5 linked regions of the Macaca mulatta genome follow. The protein of the gene in region 3 interacts with the protein of the main gene of each other region in a pairwise test. Links are inferred from orthologs where the notes say so. Each region holds a gene or a part of one and is shown on either strand. Other genes may lie near its edges.

What was found.
Region 1: the proteins of SAT1 (region 3) and DMRT3 interact in binary tests that used the Homo sapiens proteins (3 or more experiments, as listed by UniProt). The two-hybrid records come from large-scale screens. The link is inferred for Macaca mulatta from reciprocal best matches to the Homo sapiens genes SAT1 and DMRT3.
Region 2: the proteins of SAT1 (region 3) and TACO1 interact in binary tests that used the Homo sapiens proteins (3 or more experiments, as listed by UniProt). The two-hybrid records come from large-scale screens. The link is inferred for Macaca mulatta from reciprocal best matches to the Homo sapiens genes SAT1 and TACO1.
Region 4: the proteins of SAT1 (region 3) and CCDC148 interact in binary tests that used the Homo sapiens proteins (3 or more experiments, as listed by UniProt). The two-hybrid records come from large-scale screens. The link is inferred for Macaca mulatta from reciprocal best matches to the Homo sapiens genes SAT1 and CCDC148.
Region 5: the proteins of SAT1 (region 3) and TCF25 interact in binary tests that used the Homo sapiens proteins (3 or more experiments, as listed by UniProt). The two-hybrid records come from large-scale screens. The link is inferred for Macaca mulatta from reciprocal best matches to the Homo sapiens genes SAT1 and TCF25.

The regions. Positions count from the first base shown.
Region 1 is NC_133420.1:98,463,785-98,467,839, reverse strand, and holds the start of DMRT3 (doublesex- and mab-3-related transcription factor 3), read left to right. Parts: upstream 1-1,255; 5' UTR 1,256-1,562; coding exon 1,563-2,016; intron 2,017-4,055. UniProt on the Homo sapiens protein: Probable transcription factor that plays a role in configuring the spinal circuits controlling stride in vertebrates.
Region 2 is NC_133421.1:73,392,369-73,396,514, reverse strand, and holds the start of TACO1 (translational activator of cytochrome c oxidase 1), read right to left. Parts: upstream 2,801-4,146; 5' UTR 2,583-2,800; coding exon 2,303-2,582; intron 1-2,302. UniProt on the Homo sapiens protein: Acts as a translational activator of mitochondrially-encoded cytochrome c oxidase 1.
Region 3 is NC_133426.1:23,569,966-23,574,154, reverse strand, and holds the start of SAT1 (diamine acetyltransferase 1), read right to left. Parts: upstream 2,801-4,189; 5' UTR 2,607-2,800; coding exon 2,541-2,606; intron 2,301-2,540; coding exon 2,249-2,300; intron 2,159-2,248; coding exon 2,075-2,158; intron 621-2,074; coding exon 519-620; intron 427-518; coding exon 386-426; intron 261-385; coding exon 90-260; 3' UTR 1-89. UniProt on the Homo sapiens protein: Enzyme which catalyzes the acetylation of polyamines. Substrate specificity: norspermidine = spermidine >> spermine > N(1)-acetylspermine. This highly regulated enzyme allows a fine attenuation of the intracellular concentration of polyamines.
Region 4 is NC_133417.1:63,218,406-63,222,624, forward strand, and holds the start of CCDC148 (coiled-coil domain-containing protein 148), read right to left. Parts: upstream 2,801-4,219; coding exon 2,740-2,800; intron 1-2,739.
Region 5 is NC_133425.1:85,322,222-85,326,258, reverse strand, and holds the start of TCF25 (ribosome quality control complex subunit TCF25), read right to left. Parts: upstream 2,801-4,037; 5' UTR 2,712-2,800; coding exon 2,520-2,711; intron 1-2,519. UniProt on the Homo sapiens protein: Component of the ribosome quality control complex (RQC), a ribosome-associated complex that mediates ubiquitination and extraction of incompletely synthesized nascent chains for proteasomal degradation.

The DNA.
Region 1 (4,055 bases), on a different chromosome or scaffold from region 3:
CGAAGGCTCTGGAACTGCCCCGCTTCGCATAGAGCTATTGTGCTGCCCTGCAGTGTATCCACCTGTTTTTTTTTTTTGGTTTTTGTTTGTTTGCCGATGGGCAGGGGGGAGGTGCGAGCGGGGAGGGCCTTCCTCGTGCATATATAGCGATAGCCTGCACTAGGCCAAACCCACCACTCCTGGGGGAATGGTAACACGCAAATAATCTAAACAAAGTTTTCTGCTGTCATCTTGTGCAAGGACCCTCTCCCTCAAGACATCTATGACTGGGGTCTATGGGTTAAGAAGGTGAAAAAGTGGCCCCATCCCATATCCATAACTAAATCATAGAATCCGTGGGGATTTGAATTGAGTGGCTGGCGCAAGACCTCCGTTTGCTTTCAGTGGCTGCTGGGAGACAGGAAAGGATATCGGTAACTTTGCGGGCGCTAATGTGGCTTCTGCGTCTGCCTCTTCAAAGTTTATACCCGGCGCTTAACAAATCCTTTACGGGAACACGTACGTCCCTGACTTTTTTTTTATATTAAAACATAGGAGGGTAGAAAAGGAAAATTCGCCTGCAAAATGGGTTGTCATCCTTGGGCCTGCAGATCTCCAAAACCATTTTCTTCTAAAGCAACAAAAGAGAAAAAAATACGTTCTAAAAGGAAATTACGAAAAGAACCTAACTTTGCTAAACCAACAGTACTCCACTCCCCTATCCTAAACTCCACCTAGGTCCGGGGTGCCCCCGCAACACTCCAGTAGGTTCGAGTTCTCCCGGAGCTGAGCTTCTGCGGCCAAATGTCGGGATAAAAGCGGCCTTGGACTCGGAAAAACGCGGCCAGATCTGGACTGGAGGGAGGAGAAGAGAGAGAACGGGAGCGGCCACCTCACTCGCTTACAGGCACCCCCGCCCTCACTCCCGCAGGTCCTCCCCTTCTCCGCCCCGCTAGCACCGCCGCGTTCTGGAGCGCCGCAGTCTCCCGCTGCGGGCTCGGGTAGCGGAGAGGGCTTGGAGGAGGGGGCCGTGAGCGCCCCCGCGAGAGTGGCCTGGCTGCAGGTGGCAAGGAAGGTGAAGTGCAGGCACCCGAGGGGCGCAAAGAAGGAGAAAGGCGTGGGGCGGGGAGTGCAAGGAGACAGGGACCTCAGGGGTGGGGGTGGCGGTAGGAAGGAGGAGGGGTTGGGGGAGGGCGGCGGAGGAGGTGTTGGGTCCCGCCAGCGCGCGAGAAAGCTGCAGAAGAGCTGGCTCAGACCTTAATCAGAGCTCTCGCCGGCTCTTTGCAGCCGCCGCAGCGCTTCCGCTAAGAAGGACGTGCCGACCCGGCTGCGCGCCCAAGGCAGCGGCCCGCGTCGGGGTTGGCTGGGCGTGAGCTGGGAGACCGAGCTGTGAGCGCGAAGGGAGCTGGAGAGACGGCTGCTGCACCTCCAGTCGCCCCGGAGCACACACGACCACCGGGGCAGCGGGATCAAGGGCCGCGCCTCCCGGAGGCCGCCCCTAAGCGGGCCTCGCAGCCCCGCCGTCCAGCGGTCCCTGGCCCGCTCCCGCCGCCAGCCCGCCAACTCATCCGGGAGCCCGGGGCATGAACGGCTACGGCTCCCCCTACCTGTACATGGGCGGCCCGGTGTCGCAGCCGCCGCGGGCGCCCCTGCAGCGCACGCCCAAGTGCGCGCGCTGCCGCAACCACGGCGTACTGTCCTGGCTCAAGGGCCACAAGCGTTACTGCCGCTTCAAGGACTGCACCTGCGAGAAGTGCATCCTCATCATCGAGCGGCAGCGGGTCATGGCTGCGCAGGTGGCGCTGCGCCGGCAGCAGGCCAACGAGAGCCTGGAGAGCCTCATCCCAGACTCGCTGCGCGCTCTCCCAGGGCCCCCGCCCCCTGGGGACGCCGCCGCCGCCCCGCAGCCGCCGCCGGCCTCTCAGCCGTCTCAGCCGCAGCCGCCGCGCCCTGCTGCCGAGTTGGCCGCGGCCGCCACGCTGCGCTGGACCGCCGAGCCGCAACCCGGGGCTCTGCAGGCGCAGCTCGCCAAGCCAGGTAAGAGTGTGTGAGGTGCTGGAGTTTGGCGGGGCGCGTGGGCGAACTTCGGAGTGTCTGCTGCAGCTCCACTTGGAGGCCTGGAGGCAAAGTTTTGGGAAGTGGGCCTCGCGGGGCTTTCCTTCCCACTCTCCGCCAGGCCGGGGCTTCCTCTCCCGGGAGAAGCCGGCTGAGTCTGGACCCAGAGCGAGTAGCACTCGCGCCCGCAGGGAAGGCGCCTCCGGGGAGCCAAACGACGGGACTGTGCGTCAGGATCGCCAGGTGCCTTCCCAGATTAAAGGGCTCGGAACGTGTCAGATTGAGCAGGGAGACAACGGAGTTGAGACAGGACCAAATTAAAACCCAGGCGCTCACACTTACCACGGAGGGGGGAGTAAGGTTTTCCTGGCTGCAGGCTTTAGAGGTCCTCGCCATTCGGGAGTTGGAATGGGTAGGTAGGTGTAGGGAAGGCGCCAAAGCCCAACACTCCTAGCTGGTTGTGCTTTTCCGCCTGCCTGGCCCGGCCCAGGGCCCAGGAAAATTTGAGTGAGGACAAGTATCCAGCTCTCAGAACCCTGGCCTTTCTAGCTTTGCTCCGTGGCCTTCAGACTCTTGTAACTGGTGAAATAAGTTCCATTTAGCAATGATAGTAAAAAGGTCCCGAAAGGCTCCTGAGCTGATAATGGGACCAAGAATCTGGTGCGCCCAGAATTCACTCCTTTGCAGAACCTCCTAGATCCTTTAACACTGTTCCCCAGGCCGCCCTCAGCTCTCTTCATGGTTTAAAGAAATTTAAAAAAACAAAATCTGTTTCCATCCAGGCCTCCTGAGCTTGGCAGGCCTGAGTTGAGTCTCTCAGTCTCTCTCTTCCTGGGGAATTTCTGGCTTGCGGTTCTGCCCAGCGCAAGAGCTCTTTTGATGGCTCTTGGAATAAAGTAGACATGTGTTTGGTGTTTCTCCTTAACTGGGGCAAGTGTACAAAGGAACACAGCCCACCTTCTCCCGGAAGGGGAAGGGGGCATGCTGGAATTAGGAGTGGGAAGGTCCTGAGCCCTCCTGCAGGTAGTACCGTGGCAAAACTGGTACCTACACTGACCTGCCAACTCCCTAAAGACGGTACCCCTAGCTTCTGGAGAAAGGCTTTCAGGAGCCCAGGAGTGCTTTGTCTGGATCCTGTGGAGCTGAGGAAGTGAGGTGGGACTCACCTGTTTCGTAGTGACGGCTGACTGGCAGGTGGAGTTCTGCTGCCCTTTCAGCAACGCTTTCCAGGCCTGAAGCTCTGAGAACAGCCTGTGTGAGAGTAGAGCTGGGAATTTTAAAGCCTGAAGAGAGTTTGCTGAACTTGGATTTTGTGGATATTTAATCCAAGTTAGCATATAAACATTTCTCAGGAATGCTCGCCAGTTGTCTCTCTTTTGTCTCTCATCTTTTTTATATTTATGGAGTTGCCACAGACGAAGGGGAGGGAGGAGAAAAAGGTTTTTTTGTTTTTTTTTTTCTCCCATTGGTTTGAATAAATAACTAGGAAGAGTTTGGTCTCAGCTCTAGAAGTGGATTTGTACCAATATATTTTCTTAATTTTTTCCGTTTCCAGCTTTTCTGGTTCCGTTTCCCCCAGGACTAGGGCAGAGGCCGGAGTTAATATCAGAGGTAGCATTTTGCAGTGGCCATCTGCCCAGCAGCATTCCTGTGACAGGGCATTGGGTTCTGTGGTCTTTGTCCACGGAGATTCCTTTCACATCCTGTGTTCTTCAGTGTTCTTTGGGATAGCTAAAGTTCATGATTTCTAAAGAGTCAGGAAACTGAAAACACAACCCCAGGAGGAGGAGGAGGAGGAGTGAGGGCAGGCAGGAAGGCGGAGTAGGCAGCGGCAGCAGGATACATGCTTTGGGAGAAGAGAAAAAGGAAACGGATTTCAACTGGACAAACCAGAGCTGTGCTCTCTGTTTTACTCCTACTTAGTACTCAGGGATAGCCTGAGCCTTCCAAATTGAAAACAAGTAATTGCAAAGGAGAATAGGATTTATCACAAGGAGAGGTCAAAGTGACGACTTTGGGGG
Region 2 (4,146 bases), on a different chromosome or scaffold from region 3:
GAAGGGACATAGATGGTAACAACACTTCCTGGACTCATTACTGCTTACTCTACTACTTTGTGCATAATAAAAATAATTTTATTTTATTACTATTTTTGAGACAGAGTCTTGCTCTGTTGCCCAGGCTGGAGTGGGCAATCTGCAGTGGCGCAATCTCGGCTCACTGCAACCTCCGCCTCCTGGGTTCACGCCATTCTCCTGCCTCAGTCTCCTGAGTAGCTGGGACTACAGGCGCCCGCCACCAAGCCCAGATAATTTTTTTTTGTATTTTTTTAGTAGAGATAGGGTTTCACTGTGTTAGCCAGGATGGTCTCAATCTCCTGACCTCGTGATCCGCCCACCTCAGCCTCCCAAAGTGTTGGGATTACAGGTGTGAGCCACCGCGCCCTGCACTTTGTGCATAATTATTGAAATGTTCACATGACATTGTAATCTGAGGGTAGGGGCTATATTTCATCATCTTTGTAGTACTAGTGGCATGCCTGGTACAAAATAAACACAATTAAGTTGGTTGAACTTGGGCAGGGTGCAGTGGCTTACGCCTGCAATCCCAGCACTTTGGGAGGCCGAGGCGGGCGGATCATTTGAGGTCAAGAGTTTGAGACCAGCCTGGTCAACATGGTGAAACCCGGTCTCTACTAAAAATACAAAAAAATTTAGCCAGGCGTAGTGGTGCACACCTGTAGTCCCAGCTACTCTGGAGGCTGAGGCAGGAGAATCACTTGAGCCTGGGAGGTGGAGGTTGCAGTGGGCTGAGATCACCCCACTGCACTCTACCCTGGGTGACAGAGTGAGACTCTGTCTCAATAAATAAAATAAATAAATAAATAAATAAATAAATAAATGTTGCTTGAACTAATGTCAAGAATTTTGAAGAAAAGGAAGCAAACAAATACCACGCATGAGTTGAGGGGGTAAATGAACATTAACTGAATGCCTATTATGTGCCATAAACCATAAACTACCTCAAGGTGGGTATTACCCTTGTTTCACAGAAACTCAACAAAGTTAAGCCACTTGTTCAAGGTCATAAGTTAGTCAGTGGCCGGGCACGGTGGCTCAAGCCTGTAATCCCAGCACTTTGGGAGGCCGAGACGGGCGGATCACGAGGTCAGGAGATGGAGACCATCCTGGCTAACACAGTGAAACCCCGTCTCTACTAAAAATACAAAAACTTAGCCGGGCGAGGTGGCAGGCGCCTGTAGTCCCAGCTACTCGGGAGGCTGAGGCAGGAGAATGGCGTGAACCCAGGAGGCGGAGCTTGCAGTGAGCTGAGATCCGGCCACTGCACTCCAGCCTGGGTGACAGAGCGAGACTCCGTCTCAAAAAAAAAAAAAAAAAAAAAAAAAAATAAGTTAGTCAGTGACAGAAACCAGGTCTTCCTGACTCCAAAGTCCATAGTTTCTCTTTTTTTTTTTTTGAGATGGAGTATTGCTCTGTCACCCAGGCTGGATAGAGTGTAGTGGAGCAATCTCACTTACTGTAGCCTCCAACTCCTGGGTTCAAGCGATTCTCCTGCTTCAGCCTCCTGAGTAGCTGGCATTACAGGTGTGCACCACCACACCCAGCTAATTTTTTTTTTTTTTTTTTTTTGTATTTTTAGTAAAGACGGGGTTTCGCCATGTTGGCCAGGCTGGTCTTGAACTCCTGACCTCAAGTAATCTGCCTGCCCCTGGCCTGCAATTACAGACTGAGCCACTGCGCCCAGTCCAAAGTCCATGCTTTCTACAGGACTTTTCCTTTACTCCTACAAATCTCTGGCCCTAAATAGAAAAAAAGCCTTTTCAGTGTGGCGACCTAAGGGAGAAAAGACATGGTTGCAAATCTACCTTCCAAGGAAATGTGTCTTGGGGAAACATTAATGAAGCAAACTAAGGCCTAAGCACTTAAATGATAGCTTTACTCAGTGCCCCTGCCACAACAAATAAGGTACTTGAGGCGACGTCAGAGGAGTTGATTTGTCTCTTCAGGAGAGTCACACATCTGCCCTGACTCTTAAGACTTGTTTCTATTAAGTACCTAGCTAGACCAGGATGAAGTCACTTCTACCTTACCGGCTTATCTTCTCAAGAGCAGCTCCCTCTCTGACAAACTGGCCAGATGCTTAGCGTCTGGAAAGGTGAGTGAGGACTTCAAACGTAGGTAGGTGTTTTGAGGATTTATGAGGCGGGCAATGGTGGGTACTGGGAAAGGAAAACAAAGTGAAGGGCCGGAGATCTAGGTGGGCCCAACTCCGAGTGGCAAGCGAGGCTGTGGGCACTGAGAGGGCAGCGGCAGCTAGTGGTGGGTGACAGGGTCTCACCTTTCACTGCCAGGCGGATGTTCAAACAGAGTTTGGAGAAGATGCGACTCCTTTCGACGTCCTTCGGACCCTTGATGTGCCTGACTTTGGACCACTTGTTGTGCCCGGCGGGGACAGCCGCTGTGAGGTGCAGCGTCCTGCCCGGTGCGGCACCGCAGCCCCGGGGCTCGGAGTGGGAGGGCCGGGGGTCACGCGGAGAAGCTGCCCCGACCCCAGGGCCTCGTGCCAGCAAGCATCGGGCAGCGGCCCTGCTTAGGCTGGCAGCAGCCCAAGCCGCCATCGGTCCCGACCCTGGGGTTCAAGCTGCTAGCAGCAGCGGCCAGCGCCGGCCCGTCTCTTCCACCGCCGGAACAAGCAGATCCGGACTCCGCGGCTGCCTGTGCTGGTCACCTGAGACCCAAAGGCTTGGGCCCGCCCGGGGCGGCCCAACAGCTAATGACCCTGCACCGTCCCCGCGGCAGCCGGGACTGGGGGCCCTTGATGGCGTAGCACACTTCCTTTACCGGGTTCGCTCCAAAAACAAGTCCCCACTGCCCGCAAAGTCCGTTCCGCGGCTGCACAGTACTCGCTCCTCTCTCGCCCTTGAGCCGACCTAGTTAGTGCTCAAGCCCTCCCGGTTGCCTAGAGAGCGCCGGACTTTGTTTCTCATAATAGTCTAGTGGAGACACATCTGAGTTATGAAACTGACTTTGCTTCCAAATTTCTGCCTAAATCTGAGAAAGTCCAGAACGATAAATATTTTGTTGTTGCCTCATTTTACTGGCAAAGAAACCGCTGCTAGAAAAGTGAATTGCCCAAACGTTTAATCTCTCTGAACGTCCTCCCTATTTACAAATAAGGATCTAATATTTGCTTTATCAACATATGAAGGTTGAAAACACAAAATGAGCCCTTAGAGCTTTAAAGTAATAAAGTTTTATGTAAATAGCCACAGTGCACTTAAGCCCCTAAATGCAAGAGATGGTTTGGGACAGACTCAGATGAGTCACAGGCCTTTAGGAGAAGGAGAATGATCAGACAAGCCTTTTGGAGCTAAACTCCCCTTTCCATTTTCTCTCTGCTGTCTCGAAAGAGAAAACCGAATTCATTAGAAGACGGAGAGAAACAAAGCGGCAGCTGCTGAAAAGCTTTGTAGTGACTTCCGTGCTGGTGACATGAACTCCAAAGGGCATGACGTATTCGGTAGAGAAGCAGGACAGCCGGGCGCGGTGGTTCACGCCTGTAATCCCAGCACTTTGCGAGGCTGAGGCACGCGGATCACTAGGTCAGGAGTGCGACACCAGCCTGACCAACATGGTGAAACCCCGTCCCTACTAAAATACAAAAAAAAGTAGCCGGTCGTGGTGGCGCGTGCCTGTAATCCCAATTACTCAGGAGGCTGAGGCAGGAGAATCGCTTGAACCCGGGAGGAGGAGGTTGCAGTGAGCCGAGATCCCGCCACTACACTCCAGCCTGTGCGACAGAGCGAGACTCCATCTCAAAAAAAAAAAAAAAAAAAAAAAAAAAAAAAGAAGCAGGACAGTGTGAAGTTCAAGCTTGTGCCCTCTGCGTTTAGGCTGGGTGGCTTCAAACCCTGGTTGTTCCACTTTCTAGTGTATCCTTGGGCAAGTACCTTTACTTTCCTGTTTGTTTCCTTACCTCTAGAATGGCCTTGTGAGAACTAAATGGGATAACGGATGCAAAGCACAAAAGCATAGACTTTACATTTTTTATTATATAAGAACCTTCATGGGATGGTGGCTCACGCCTGTAATCCTAGCACTTTGGGAGGTCGAGACCAGCAGATCACTTGAGGTCAGGAGTTTGAGACCAGCCTGGTTAACATGGTGAAACCCCGTCTCTAC
Region 3 (4,189 bases):
ATTATTTCACTACAAACAGCATAGAAAGCAAGATAAGTTGGGAATTTATTCTAAAATAGAATGGAGGTTGTCATCTACACCAGCACTCCTCACTCCTCTGTTGCCATTTTTAGCAAGTACTGCTTGTCGATCTTGAACAGTCTCCAACCCTCTTCACTGGACAGATCAGAAGCACCTCTTCTTTTGTAGAAGTTGATGGATGGTTCATTCCATTCTGCTACCAGGAAGTGCATGCTGCTGCAGCGACACTTCATCGCAACCTATCATGAGAGAGTAAAACACAAACTCAGTGACGTTTCAACCTGCTTGCAAGACCCAATTTTTATTCCATCATTAAAATAATCCAGTAAACTTACAAATTTGGAAACCAAAAACTAAGACATACCCGGCTTAGATTCTTCAGAATTTCTGATCCTATGCCAAAGCCTAAAAAGAAAAAGTACAATTTAAAAAGTCATTGTAAGGATTTATATAACCCTGAACTCTCTTCAGACCCTCTGCTCCGAACTCAATCGTACCTCTATAATCACTCATCACGAAGAAGTCCTCAAGATACAGTAACTTGCCAATCCACGGGTCATAGGTAAAATAGTACATGGCAAAACCAACAATGCTGTGTCCTGTAATAAGAGTATCACATGAGATGTGGAGAAGGAAAACATTTCATAAAAGTTGCAGCTGCAGAATCAGAGGCCTATCATAGGTTTAAAAAAACATACATGCATGTATTACAGAAACAAACAGCCACGACTGTCTCATGATTGTTATGTGAGTGCAGTCCAGGCCACTGCTGGATGATCTCACTGTTCTGAAAACATGTATTTGCAAAAAGCACACATCAGAACTCACTGAAGTCAGGCTACAACTGTGGACTGGCCACTCTGCAGTCTGCTGGAAGCTCACACTCAGGAAGCGAGAACACTTTCATTACTTGCCAGAGCAAAACTGCTATGGTTTTAAACTCAACACACACATTATTCACATCCTACTGGTATACTGGTATGTTGACTTGGGAACAAGTCAGGTTTACACGGCAGTTCAGAATAGTAAATATTTGGAAGTTTACAAACTCTTGCTTCCTTAAAGGTCAGAACATCAGGCCAAAGTACAACGTTTAATTTCAGAACTTGCCTTCCAATTTACACATTTTCAATTTGCTCTCCCCATTTGTTGAGTCAGAAGAGGCAGCACTGCCCAGAAACAGGTATTACATAACATGCACATTACTTTAAAAAGTACTCATTCCGTGTTTTCTGCTCATTTCTTCTAGCCTGAGGAACAGACGTCAGAAAAAAAGCAATCACCCAAACAACTTCCCCTTTTAGCTGAGCTGTCTTCTGACCAATCAACAGGGATCAGCCAAAAAAAAAAAAAAAAAAAAAAAAAAAGGGGCATCTGACACCCTCTTAACAGGTGTCTACTATTCCAAATGGAGGCAAAGGTTTCAAATTAAACTTTCTAGCCATTTTATATTCCTTAGCAAACAGACAGGAAGCGAGTATCATAGTGGGTTTCTGATCTACCGTGTTTGAAGTGTGTGATAATAGGACCTTACCTCATTTATCATGATCATCTACTTTATTGTGTAAAGGATCTTTTAGTTACCTCCCCGCCCATCCATGTACACGGAAGGGCCATGTACATGGCGAAGCTAGAGACTGTAACCTGAAGATTGGGACAAATTAAAGAAAAAAATGTGATTTAACACAATTACAAAAACTGTTACTTTAGGGTCAAACAAGAACCATTTTATGAAACTGAATTACAACAAATGACATTATACCTAACTCTTCGGGGTCGCCACAGCACTTGTACTTACTTAAGCAGCTTAAACTCTTCAGAGTCTCCACAGCACTCTGATACTTACTTAAACAGCTCTTTTAACCTGCCCTAGTATTCTCAAGTGCAGCGTATCTAATTTTTTTTTTCCTCAGTAGTTTGAACACTTGCTGGCTATTTTTTCTGTCCAAGTTCTCAGTAACTTCGGCCTGTGTAGTCAGTGGTTCTACACAGCCGACACTACTTCTTACATAACACTCGGTCTCTCTGGCTTCTGTAAAGGGAGAGGGGTTACCTTCCGGAGTCCAGTGCTCTTTGGGCACTTCTGCAACCAGGCAGTGGTAAAAGGGGTGCTCTCCAAAACCATCTTCTAGCAGATCTGCAAGAAGGGGGAACAGGGACGGTAATGGCCTCGGCGAAGGTGACAGGCACCGAACGCTTGTCCCCCGCCCCGCCACTGTTGAATTACCTTTTTCAGTTAAGATTACTTGTTCTTCCATGTATTCATATTTAGCCAGCTCCTGGGGGGATGCACATAGGAGAGAGAAAAGCAGAAAACAAAATGAGGCTCCGGCCGGCCAGCTCAGTGGAAGGGAATGGGGCGGGCGGGGCGGGGTAGCGGCCGGGCCTGGGATGGGCGCAGAAAGGGGAACCGGCTGGGCTCTCACACCGGCCCAGACCTCGAGACGCGAATCACCCCACCCCGGGAAACGGAACCACCTCCACCCTACGCCACGGGAGGAGCTCGGGCTCTCCGCTACCTTGATCAGCCGCAGTATGTCACTGCAGTCGGCGGCAGTGGCTGGGCGGATCACGAATTTAGCCATTTTCGTCTTTTGCTTTTCTTCCCTTTGCGGACCAGGCCCCTGTACTTGAATAGTAGGAGGAGGTGGTTCCTCATTCGTCTCCCGGGAGCGTCCTCTTCTCAGTCAGGCTGGCACCATGACCCAGGGAACCTCGGCGAGTGACTGATAAACCTTAGTCGACTTGCGACTAAGAGCTGCGCACTTGAACATTGGCCCGGCTTGGCTTTTAAGCGCAAAGAAGCCCCGCCTTGGGCCGTGAGGTGGGGACCTCTCATCCAATGAGGCCGCGGCCCCGGGGCGCATAGTTTCCTCTCCCAGGCACCACCCTCTCTTCCGGGCGCCCGTGTGAACCCGGAGGACAAAAGTTGGGGATGCGGGGCGCGCTGTGGGATTCGCTAGCGGCGCCCTCTAGTGGCACTTCGCGGAGCCTTGGCAGAAACCCTACTGGGAGCCGGTGTGTCCCCCAGTAACCTTTGCAAATGAAAGAGGGGAATTCCCTCTGCGGCCCCCCGACAAGTGACCTTTCTCTTTTCTCCTTGGCCAGTCAGGGAAGCAAACTCAGGAACCCCGGACTTAGGAGATGGGAGGAAGATTAAAGCGGCAGTTCTCAAAGTGTGATCCGGGAGACCCTGCAGATCCCAAGATTCTTTGTAGAGTTTCGGTGGCAGAACTAGTTTTAGAATAATAGACGTCATTTGCCTTTTAAACTCACAATGGAATTTTCCAGAGGCGACCTGATGTCTAATGATGACACTGCTCTTATGACCAAAGGAATGTGAGCTCGTATATTCTTGCGGTTTTTAGAATTTCCTAAGGTAGGTTATTTAGATTTCCCAATTATCTTTTTTTCTTTATACTTGTAGTTTCTAGAGTTGACAGCATTTTTTTTTCTCACTTTTCTAACCTTCTTATACCTTCTTAAATCTCTGATCTTCCTCGACACTTGATCTTGACACCTTTCCTTCTGCCCGAGGTACATTCTTCATAATTTGCTTTAGTAAAGACTTGCTTTTACTAAACTTTCTCAGTTTTGCTTATCTGAATGTGTCTTTAATTCATCTTATAATTCCTTTTTTCAGACTAGTCAAGTGCAGTAGTGAGAGTAAAATAAGGAGTTTGATCTGTAACTGACTGTGAACAATCAACTGAGATAACTCACTACCTTTGGACCAGCCCATCTTACAATTCTTGAAGGGTTTATTTCACTGTTTATATATTTTGAGGTTCAGAAGTTTTCCTCTTTCAGCACATTGATGTTATCTGTCTTCTGACTTCGGTTGCTGTTGAAAGTTGTTGTAATCCCTACTTGCTCCATCCTCTATGCTTCATTTCCTTTAACTTTTTTTTGAAATAATTATACATTTACAGAATATGTGATGATGTCATTGCTCTGGTGAGGAAAAAAATATGTGCTTGTGTATTCCTATGTTTTTTACAATTTTCGAAGGTAAGGTCTTTGGATTCCTTGATAAGTATTTTTTTTTTTTTTTTTTTTTTGGTAGAGACAGGGTCCTCACCATCTTGCTCAGGTTGGTCTCGAACTCCTGGGCTCAAGTGCTCCTCCGACCTCGGCCTCCCAAAGTGCTGGGATTACAGGTGTGAGC
Region 4 (4,219 bases), on a different chromosome or scaffold from region 3:
TCTCTCACCACTCCACTTCAACATAGTATTGGAAGTTCTGGCCAGGGCAGTCAGGCAAGAGAAAGAAATAAAGGGTATTCAAATAGGAAGAGAGGAAGTTAAATTGTCTCTGTTTGCAGATGACATGATTGTATATTTAGAAAACACCATCATCTCAGTCCAAAATCTCCTTAAGCTGATAAGCAACTTCAGCAAAGTCTCAGGATACAAAATCAATGTGCAAAAGTCACAGGCATTCCTATACACCAATAATAGAGCACAAAATCATGAGTGAACTCCCATTCACAATTGCTACAAAGAGAGTAAAACACCCAGGAATACAACTTACAAGTGATGTGAAGGGCCTCTTCACAGAGAACTACAAACCACTACTCAAGGAAATAAGAGAGGACACAAACAAATGGAAAAATAGTCCATGCTCATGGATAGGAAGAATAAATATTGTGAAAATGGCCATGCTGCCCAAAGTAATTTATAGATTTAATGTTATCCCTATCAAGCTACCATTTACTTTCTTCACAGAATCAGAAAAAAATACTTTAAACTATTATGGAACCAAAAAAGAGCCCGCACAGCCAAGACAATGCTGGGCAAGAACAACAAAGCTGCAGGCATCATGCTACCTGACTTTGAACTATACTACAAGGCTACAGTAACCAAAACAGCATGGTACTGGTACCAAAAAAGATATGTAGACCAACAGAACAGACCAGAGGCCTCAGAAATAAAGCCACACATCTAAAGCCATCTGATCTTTGAAAAATCTGAAAAAACAAGCAAATGGGGAAAGGATTCCCTATTTAATAAATACTGTTGGGAAAATTGGCTAGCCATATGCAGAAAACTGAAACTGGATCTCTTCCTTACACTTTATACAAAAATTAACTCAAGATGGATTAAAGACTTAAATGTAATACCTAAAACCATAACAATCCTAGAAGAAAACCTAGGCAATACCATTCAGGACATAGGCATGGGCAAAGACTTCATGACTACAACACCAAAAGCAATGGCAACAAAAGCCAAAATTGACAAATGGGATCTAATCAAAATATAGAGCTTCTGCATAGCAAAAGAAACTATCATCAGAGTGCACAGGCAACCTACAGAATGGGAGAAAAATTTTGCAATTTATCCATCTGACAAAGGGCTAATATCCAGAATCAATGAAGAACTTAAACAAATTTACAAGAAAAAAACAACCTCATCAAAAAGTGGGTGAAGGACATGAACAGACATTTCTCAAAAGAAGACATTTATGCAGCCAACAAACATATGAAAAAAAAAAAAAGCTCATCATCTCTGGTCATTAGAGAAATACAAATCAAAACCACAGTGAGATACCATCTCATGCCAGTTAGAATAGTGATCATTAAAAAGTCAGGAAACAACACATGCTGGAGAAGATGTGGAGAAATAGGAACACGTTTACACTGTTAGTGGGACTGTAATTAGTTCAAACATTGTGGAACACAGTGTGGCGATTCCTCAAGGATCTAGAACCAGAAATACCATTTGATTCAGCAATCCCATACCTATATATACGGTATATACCTAGAGGATTATAAATCATTCTACTATAAAGACACATGCACATGTATGTTTATTGCGGCACTGTTCACAATAGCAAATACTTGGAACCAACCCAAATTCTCATCAATGATAGACTGGTTGAAGAAAATGTGCCACATATACACCATGGAATGCTAAGCAGCCATAAAAAAGGATGAGTTCATGTCCTTTGCAGGGATATGGATGAAGCTGGAAACCATCACTCTCAGCAAACTAACACAAGAACAGCAAACCAAACACTACATGTTCTCACTCATAAGTGGTAGTTGAACAATAAGAACACATGGACACAGGGAGGGGAACATCACACACTGGGGCCTGTTGGGGGCTGGGGGGCTAGGGGAGGGATAGCATTAAGAGATATACCTAATGTAGAGGATGGGTTGCTGGGCGCAGCAAACCACCATGGCATATGTATACCTATGTAACAAACCTGCACGTTCTGTACATGTTCCCCAGAACTTAAAGGAGGAGGAGGAGGAGGAAGAAGAAGAAGAGGAGGAGGAGGAGGAGGAGGAGGAGAAGGAGAAGGAGGAGAAGGAGAAGGAGGAGAAGAAGAAGGAGAAGAAAGAAGAAGAAGGAGAAGAAGGAAGAAGAAGGAGAAGAAAGAAGAAGAAGGAGGAGAAGAAAGAAGAAGGAGGAGAAGAAAGAAGAAGAAGGAGGAGAAGAAAGAAGAAGGAGGAGAAGAAAGAAGAAGAAGGAGGAGAAGAAAGAAGAAGAAGGAGGAGAAGAAAGAAGAAGAAGGAGGAGAAGAAGAAAGAAGAAGGAGAAGAAGACAAAAGAAGAAGAAGAGGAAGGGGAAGGGGGAGAAGGAGAAGGAGAAGGAGGAGGAGGAGGAGGAGAAGGAGAAGAAGGAGAAAAAGGAGAAGAAGGAGAAGGAGAAGGAGAAGAAGGAGAAGAAGGAGAAGAAGAAGAAGGAGAAGGAGAAGGAGAAGGAGAAGGAGAAGGAGGAGAAGGAGAAGGAGGAGAAGGCGGCAAGGGTATCCTGACCACTGTTGAGGATTAAAACAAACCCATTGTAAGGAACTGGCCAGTCATTCAACGTAACCAGAAAGTAAGCTTTCCATTATTTAAATATTTGAAAAATCAACATTCCAATTGTATATCATTTCAAAAGTACATAATCCAGTGCAAATAATAAAACAGAGTTGGAAGTAGGAAAAATACCTGAGCTATCATTTCTCTGAATTGTCATGAATGGTCGGTCTCTTTGATTCATTTTTTCCATATCTGTTAAGGAAACAAGAGAGAACTAAAATTTCATAATATTATTTTATAAATGTTTTTAAAGCTGTGTTACTTGAAGTATTTTTAAAAGTAAGACCCAGGACTGGGTGCCATAATGCTTTTTATTTTATTAAAATGTGCTTTTCTTGCCCCTAGAAGCCTCCCTCCATTAGTGTTTTTCTGTGCCTTTCTTGTTCTTGGTCCACTCTTTCCTATTTTTTCCCTCTTAATTCTCCCCTGCTGGATTGTTCCAGTGACTGATAAAAATTTTGTTATTAGAAAGTTGTTATGTGTTTTATTTTGTGTTCCTGGGAGGAAAGAAATTACCTAAATTGAAGAATAAATTATTCACTACTTCTATTACAACTATTATCCACTTTTGATAGATATAGAGATGCAGGGACACGGAGCAAAATGGCCGAATAGGAACAGCTCCAGCCTCCAGTTCCCAGCGCAAGCGACACAGAAGATGGGTGATTTCTGCATTTTCAACTGAGGTACCGGGTTCATCTCAATGGCGAGTGCCAGACAATCGGTGCTGGTCAGCTGCTGCAGCCCGACCAGCAAGAGCTGAAGGAGGGCGAGGCATTGCCTCACCTCGGAAGTGCAAGGGGGAAGGGAATCCCTTTTCCCAGCCAAGGGACAATGAGACATACAACACCTGGAAAATCGGGTAACTCCCACCCTAATACTGCGCTTTACCAAGGGTCTTAGCAAACGGCACACCAGGAGATTATATCCCACACCTGGCCCAGAGGGTCCCACATCCACGGAGCCTCCCTCATTGCTAGCACAGCAATCTGAGATCTAACTGCAAGGCAGCAGCGAGGCCGGGGGATGGGCACCGGCCATTGCTGAGGCTTAAGTAGGTAAACAAAGCCGCCAGGAAGCTCAAACTGGGTGGAGCCCACCGCAGCTCAAGGAGGCCTGCCTGACTCTGTAGACTCCACCTCTGGGGACAGGGCATAGCTAAACAAAAAGCAGCAGAAACCTCTGCAGATATAAATGACCCTGTCTGGCAGCTTTGAAGACAGTAGTGGATCTCCCGGCATGGAGGTTAAGATCTGAGAACGGACAGACTTCCTGCTCAAGTGGGTCCCTGACCCCTGAGTAGCCTAACTGGGAGACATCCCCCACTAGGTGCAGACTGACACCTCACACCTCACACGGCAGGGTACACCCCTGAGATGAAGCTTTCAGAGCAAGAATCAGAGAGCAACTCTTGCTGTTCAGCAATATTCTATCTTCTGCAGCCTCCACTGCTGATACCAGGCAAACAGGGTCTGGAGTGGACCTCAAGCAGTCTCCAACAGACCTACAGCTGAGGGTCCTGACTGTTAGAAGGAAAACTAACAGAAAGGACACCCACACCAAAACCCCATCAGTAAGTCACCATCTTCAAAGACCAAAGGCAGATAAA
Region 5 (4,037 bases), on a different chromosome or scaffold from region 3:
TCTCTCACTGATGCATTCACATTCAAAACCATTCAGTCCTAAGTGGCTGTTTAATGTGTCTCATACTTCTGTTTATTAAGAGCTATTTAACAGAACGCCAATAAACATTTCTATTATATTATTTCCAAATATGAGTTGTAAGGGCAAAAAAGTATAGAATGCTTAAATTAAGATCGATGTGTGCCATTGGATAAAATTCTTTGAAATTCCTAAGAACACAAGCACGATAAGCAGACGCTCATCCACGGAGGCTGTTGGTGTTACTGACACTCCAAACTCATTCCAGAAAGTCCAAAAGGGTGTGTGTGGTTTCTGACCTTACGGACTCTTATTCTGTCAACTCAGGAACCACACTGTTTCCCAATTCCCACCAACACAAATATAAATACCAAAAAGATTAAATATTTAAATGGAAAAAACAAAAAAGCATTAAAAGAACAAGCTGAGCACAGTAGGGTATGCTGTCGTCCCAGCTGCTCAGGAGGCTGAGGCAGGAGGATCACCGTCAGGGAAGATCTATGTGAAGACACTAGAGAGATGGATGTGTAACAATGAGAAAAGTGGCTTTCAGCACGCAGAAATTAAAGAATTTAAAGAACAAACAAACAGAGAAAATACGTTAAAGACAATTGATAGCAAGCTTTCACGAACAAAAAGATTGTTTAAACTCCCTATAAAAAGGCAAAGGATAGGCCGGGTGCGGTTGCTCAAGCCTGTAATCCCAGCACTTTGGGAGGCCAAGACGGGCGGATCACGAGGTCAGGAGATCGAGACCATCCTGGCTAACTATAAATGGTCAACAAGTACATAGCTAGGTGCTGCATTTCACTAACAAAGAAGTGTAAAATAAAGTAACGTGATATCATTTTTGACAAATTATATTGACAAAAATTTAAAGACTTATGGGGCCAAGCACAGTGGCTCATGCCTGTAATGCCAACACTCTGAGAGGCCAAGGTGAGAGGACTGTTTGAGCCCAGGAGTTCAAGGTTGCAGTGACCTAGGATTGTGCCAATGCACTTCGGCCTGGGCAACAGGGCAAGATTCCATCTCAAAAAAAAAAAAAAAAAAACACTTTCAGTAACTGCTGTGAATCTAGCAAATTATTGAACCTTGACGGTGGTCTTGCGGACCCGTAAAGGTGGAATTGATGTGAGAAGGGCAGTCAACCAAGCATGGTGACTCATGCCTGTAGTTCCAGCACTTTGTGAGGCTGAGGTGAACAGACTGTTTGAGCGCAGGAGTTCTAGACCTGCCTGGGCAACAAGGTGAAACCTCGTCTCTACAAAAAAAAAAAAAAAATTGGCCGGGCACGGTGGCTCAAGCCTGTAATCCCAGCACTTTGGGAGGCCGAGACGGGCGGATCACGAGGTCAGGAGATCGAGACCATCCTGGCTAACACGGTGAAACCCCGTCTCTACTAAAAAAATACAAAAAACTAGCCGGGCGAGGTGGCGGGCGCCTGTAGTCCCAGCTACTCGGGAGGCTGAGGCAGGAGAATGGCGTGAACCCGGGAGGCGGAGCTTGCAGTGAGCTGAGATCCGGTCACTGCACTCCAGCCCAGGCGACAGAGTGAGACTCCGTCTCAAAAAAAAAAAAAAAAAAAAAAATTAGCCTGGCATGGTGACACCCACCCGTAGTCTTAGATACCCAGGAGGCTGAGGTGGGAGGATCGCAGACTCCGCAGAGGCAGAGTTACAGACGGAGGCCAGGGCTTAGGAGAAAACGGCACAGGACCACATGTGCAAACCATGCAGTCAAACTGGTTACTTCCCCGTGCCAGAAACGTGCTGCTGGAGATGCAACGAAGAGTAAGACTAACCCACTGGGTTAGGCTGATGGGGATGCAGCGGAGAAGAGCAAGGTCCTGGGTTAGGCAGGGTTGTTGCGAGGATTAAAGGAGAATGCTCGCAGAGGCCTGGCAAGTCCTCAACTCCGGAACTGAAAGAACCCCACTCTTGCCCCTACACCAAGGCCCCATCCCCACGGTGGCCCCAGGCCCCATTTAACCCCGCCCATGCCATCGCCTCGCCCTCATGTCCTTAGCCACGCCCTGTAGCGTCATGGCCCCACGACAGCCACGTGGCTGCAGGCCCGTTTAACCCCGCCCACATCGTGGCCCGGCCCCGCTGACGTTGGTCACGCCCTTGGCATTAAGGCCCCGCCCTCCCCACAGCCCGGACCCCGCTTAACCCCGCCCATTCGGTCGCCCCGCCCCGACGACATGGCCCCGCCCCATCTCTTTGCCCCGCCCCTGAGGGCGGGATGATCCCGCCCACCTCGCCGGGGTTAGAACACAATTTAACGCCGCGGCCCGCCGTCCTGACCTCACGCCACCGCCCACCCGCGTCGTCCCGGCCCCGACGCACGGCCCCGCCCTCCCCACTGCAGCCGGGACCCACGTCACCAGACCTACCCCTGGCATGACGACCCCCCGCTCCCCGACCCGACTGGACGCTCGTCCCGCCCCGCGACGTCACGGGCCACCCCGCCCCCACCCGGGTCGCCGCGCTCCTCACCAGCTCGAAGCGGTTGTTGACTCGGACGCCCTCCTTCCCTGCGCCCCCGGGGCGCCGGACACCCAGCTCCCGCTTGGGCCCTTCTTCTTCCGCGTCATCGTCATCACGGAGGTCGAACTGCAGGGCGCTGGGCCCGATGGGCTCCTGGCCGCGCTGTTCCCCCCTCAGCCTCCGGAGGGCCCGGCGCGACATAGGACCGAACGACCAGGACGTCTGGAGAGAGGGAGAAGGAAGCGCAGAAAACTCGGCGGTCTGCGCGCCTGCGCGCTCCTGGCGCGGGTGGGGGGCGGGGAAGCTGGCTGTGGCGCCTGCGCACTCCTGGAGCGGGCTGGGGGCGGGGCCTGACGTGCGGCGCCTGCGCGTTGCGACTCACCGGAACTTCGCCGCCTCAGCCGCGGCGACTGGGCGGGCGCCGGTGGGTCCGGGCCAGGTCTCGGGAAAGCCGGTTTCCTGCGCGCCGTGGGCCTCTGGCTTGGCGAGGTGCCTCGCGGGGATGACGGGCTTTGATGCGGGGTAAGAGGCGCGCAGCCGGCGACAGTCGGCCCTGCCCGGCCTTGCCCATCCGTGTGGTCCGGAACCCGCAGCCGCGTTCGGCCCGCCAGGGGCTGTCCCCGCTCCGGGCCTGGAGCATTTCAGCTGCGTCCCGGACGCTGCTAGTTGGTCTTTTCGTGTCACGGTGTCATTCGAGTGATCTAGCCGTCGATGCCCACCTCTGCCCTGGCCTGAAGTCGCCGCCCCTCGGGCACCAGTGAGGGACGCGGCCCTCGCTGCCCGCCTGAGGCCTCGTTAGCGACAGTGGTTCTGAGCAGTTCCAGGACAAGCCACCCGCGTTTGTCACGATCTGAGGGCCGGGCGCGGTGCTCGCGCTTGTAATCCCAGCACTATGGGAGGCCGAGGTGGGCGGATCACCTGAGGTCAGGAGTTCGAGACCAGCGCGGGCAACATGGTGAAACAGTCTCTACTAAAAATACAAAAATTAGCCGGGTGTGGCCGGGCACGCCTGTCATCCCAGCTACTCGGGAGGCTGAGGCTGCAGTGAGCCGAGATCGTGACACTGCACTCCAGTCTGGGCCACAGAGCCAGACCCTGTCTCAGAAAAAAGAAAAACAAAAATAAAGTAGATGAGGCTGAGATAGGGCTCGGTTCAGTGGGCGGATGGCACAGCTTCCTGTGCCGGGGGTTGGGGACACGGGGACAGGAGGGCACAGAGAAGACAGGTACCAGCAGCCTGCTGCTCAACTTACCGCGGCTTCATGAACCCAGGAAGCAGCCCTGGTGGGCCGGCCTGGCCCCTCCCAGGATGGGTTAGGGTGTTAGGGTTTTATTTTATTTTCTGAGATGGCGTCTTGCTCTGTTTCCCAGGCTGGAGTGCAGTGGCACGATCTCGGCTCACTGCAACCTCCATCTCCCAGGCTCAAGCAATTCTCCTGCCTCAGCTTCCCGAGTAGCTGGGACTACAGGCATGCGTCACCATGCCCGGCTAATTTTTGTACTTTTAGTACAGATGGGGTTTCACCA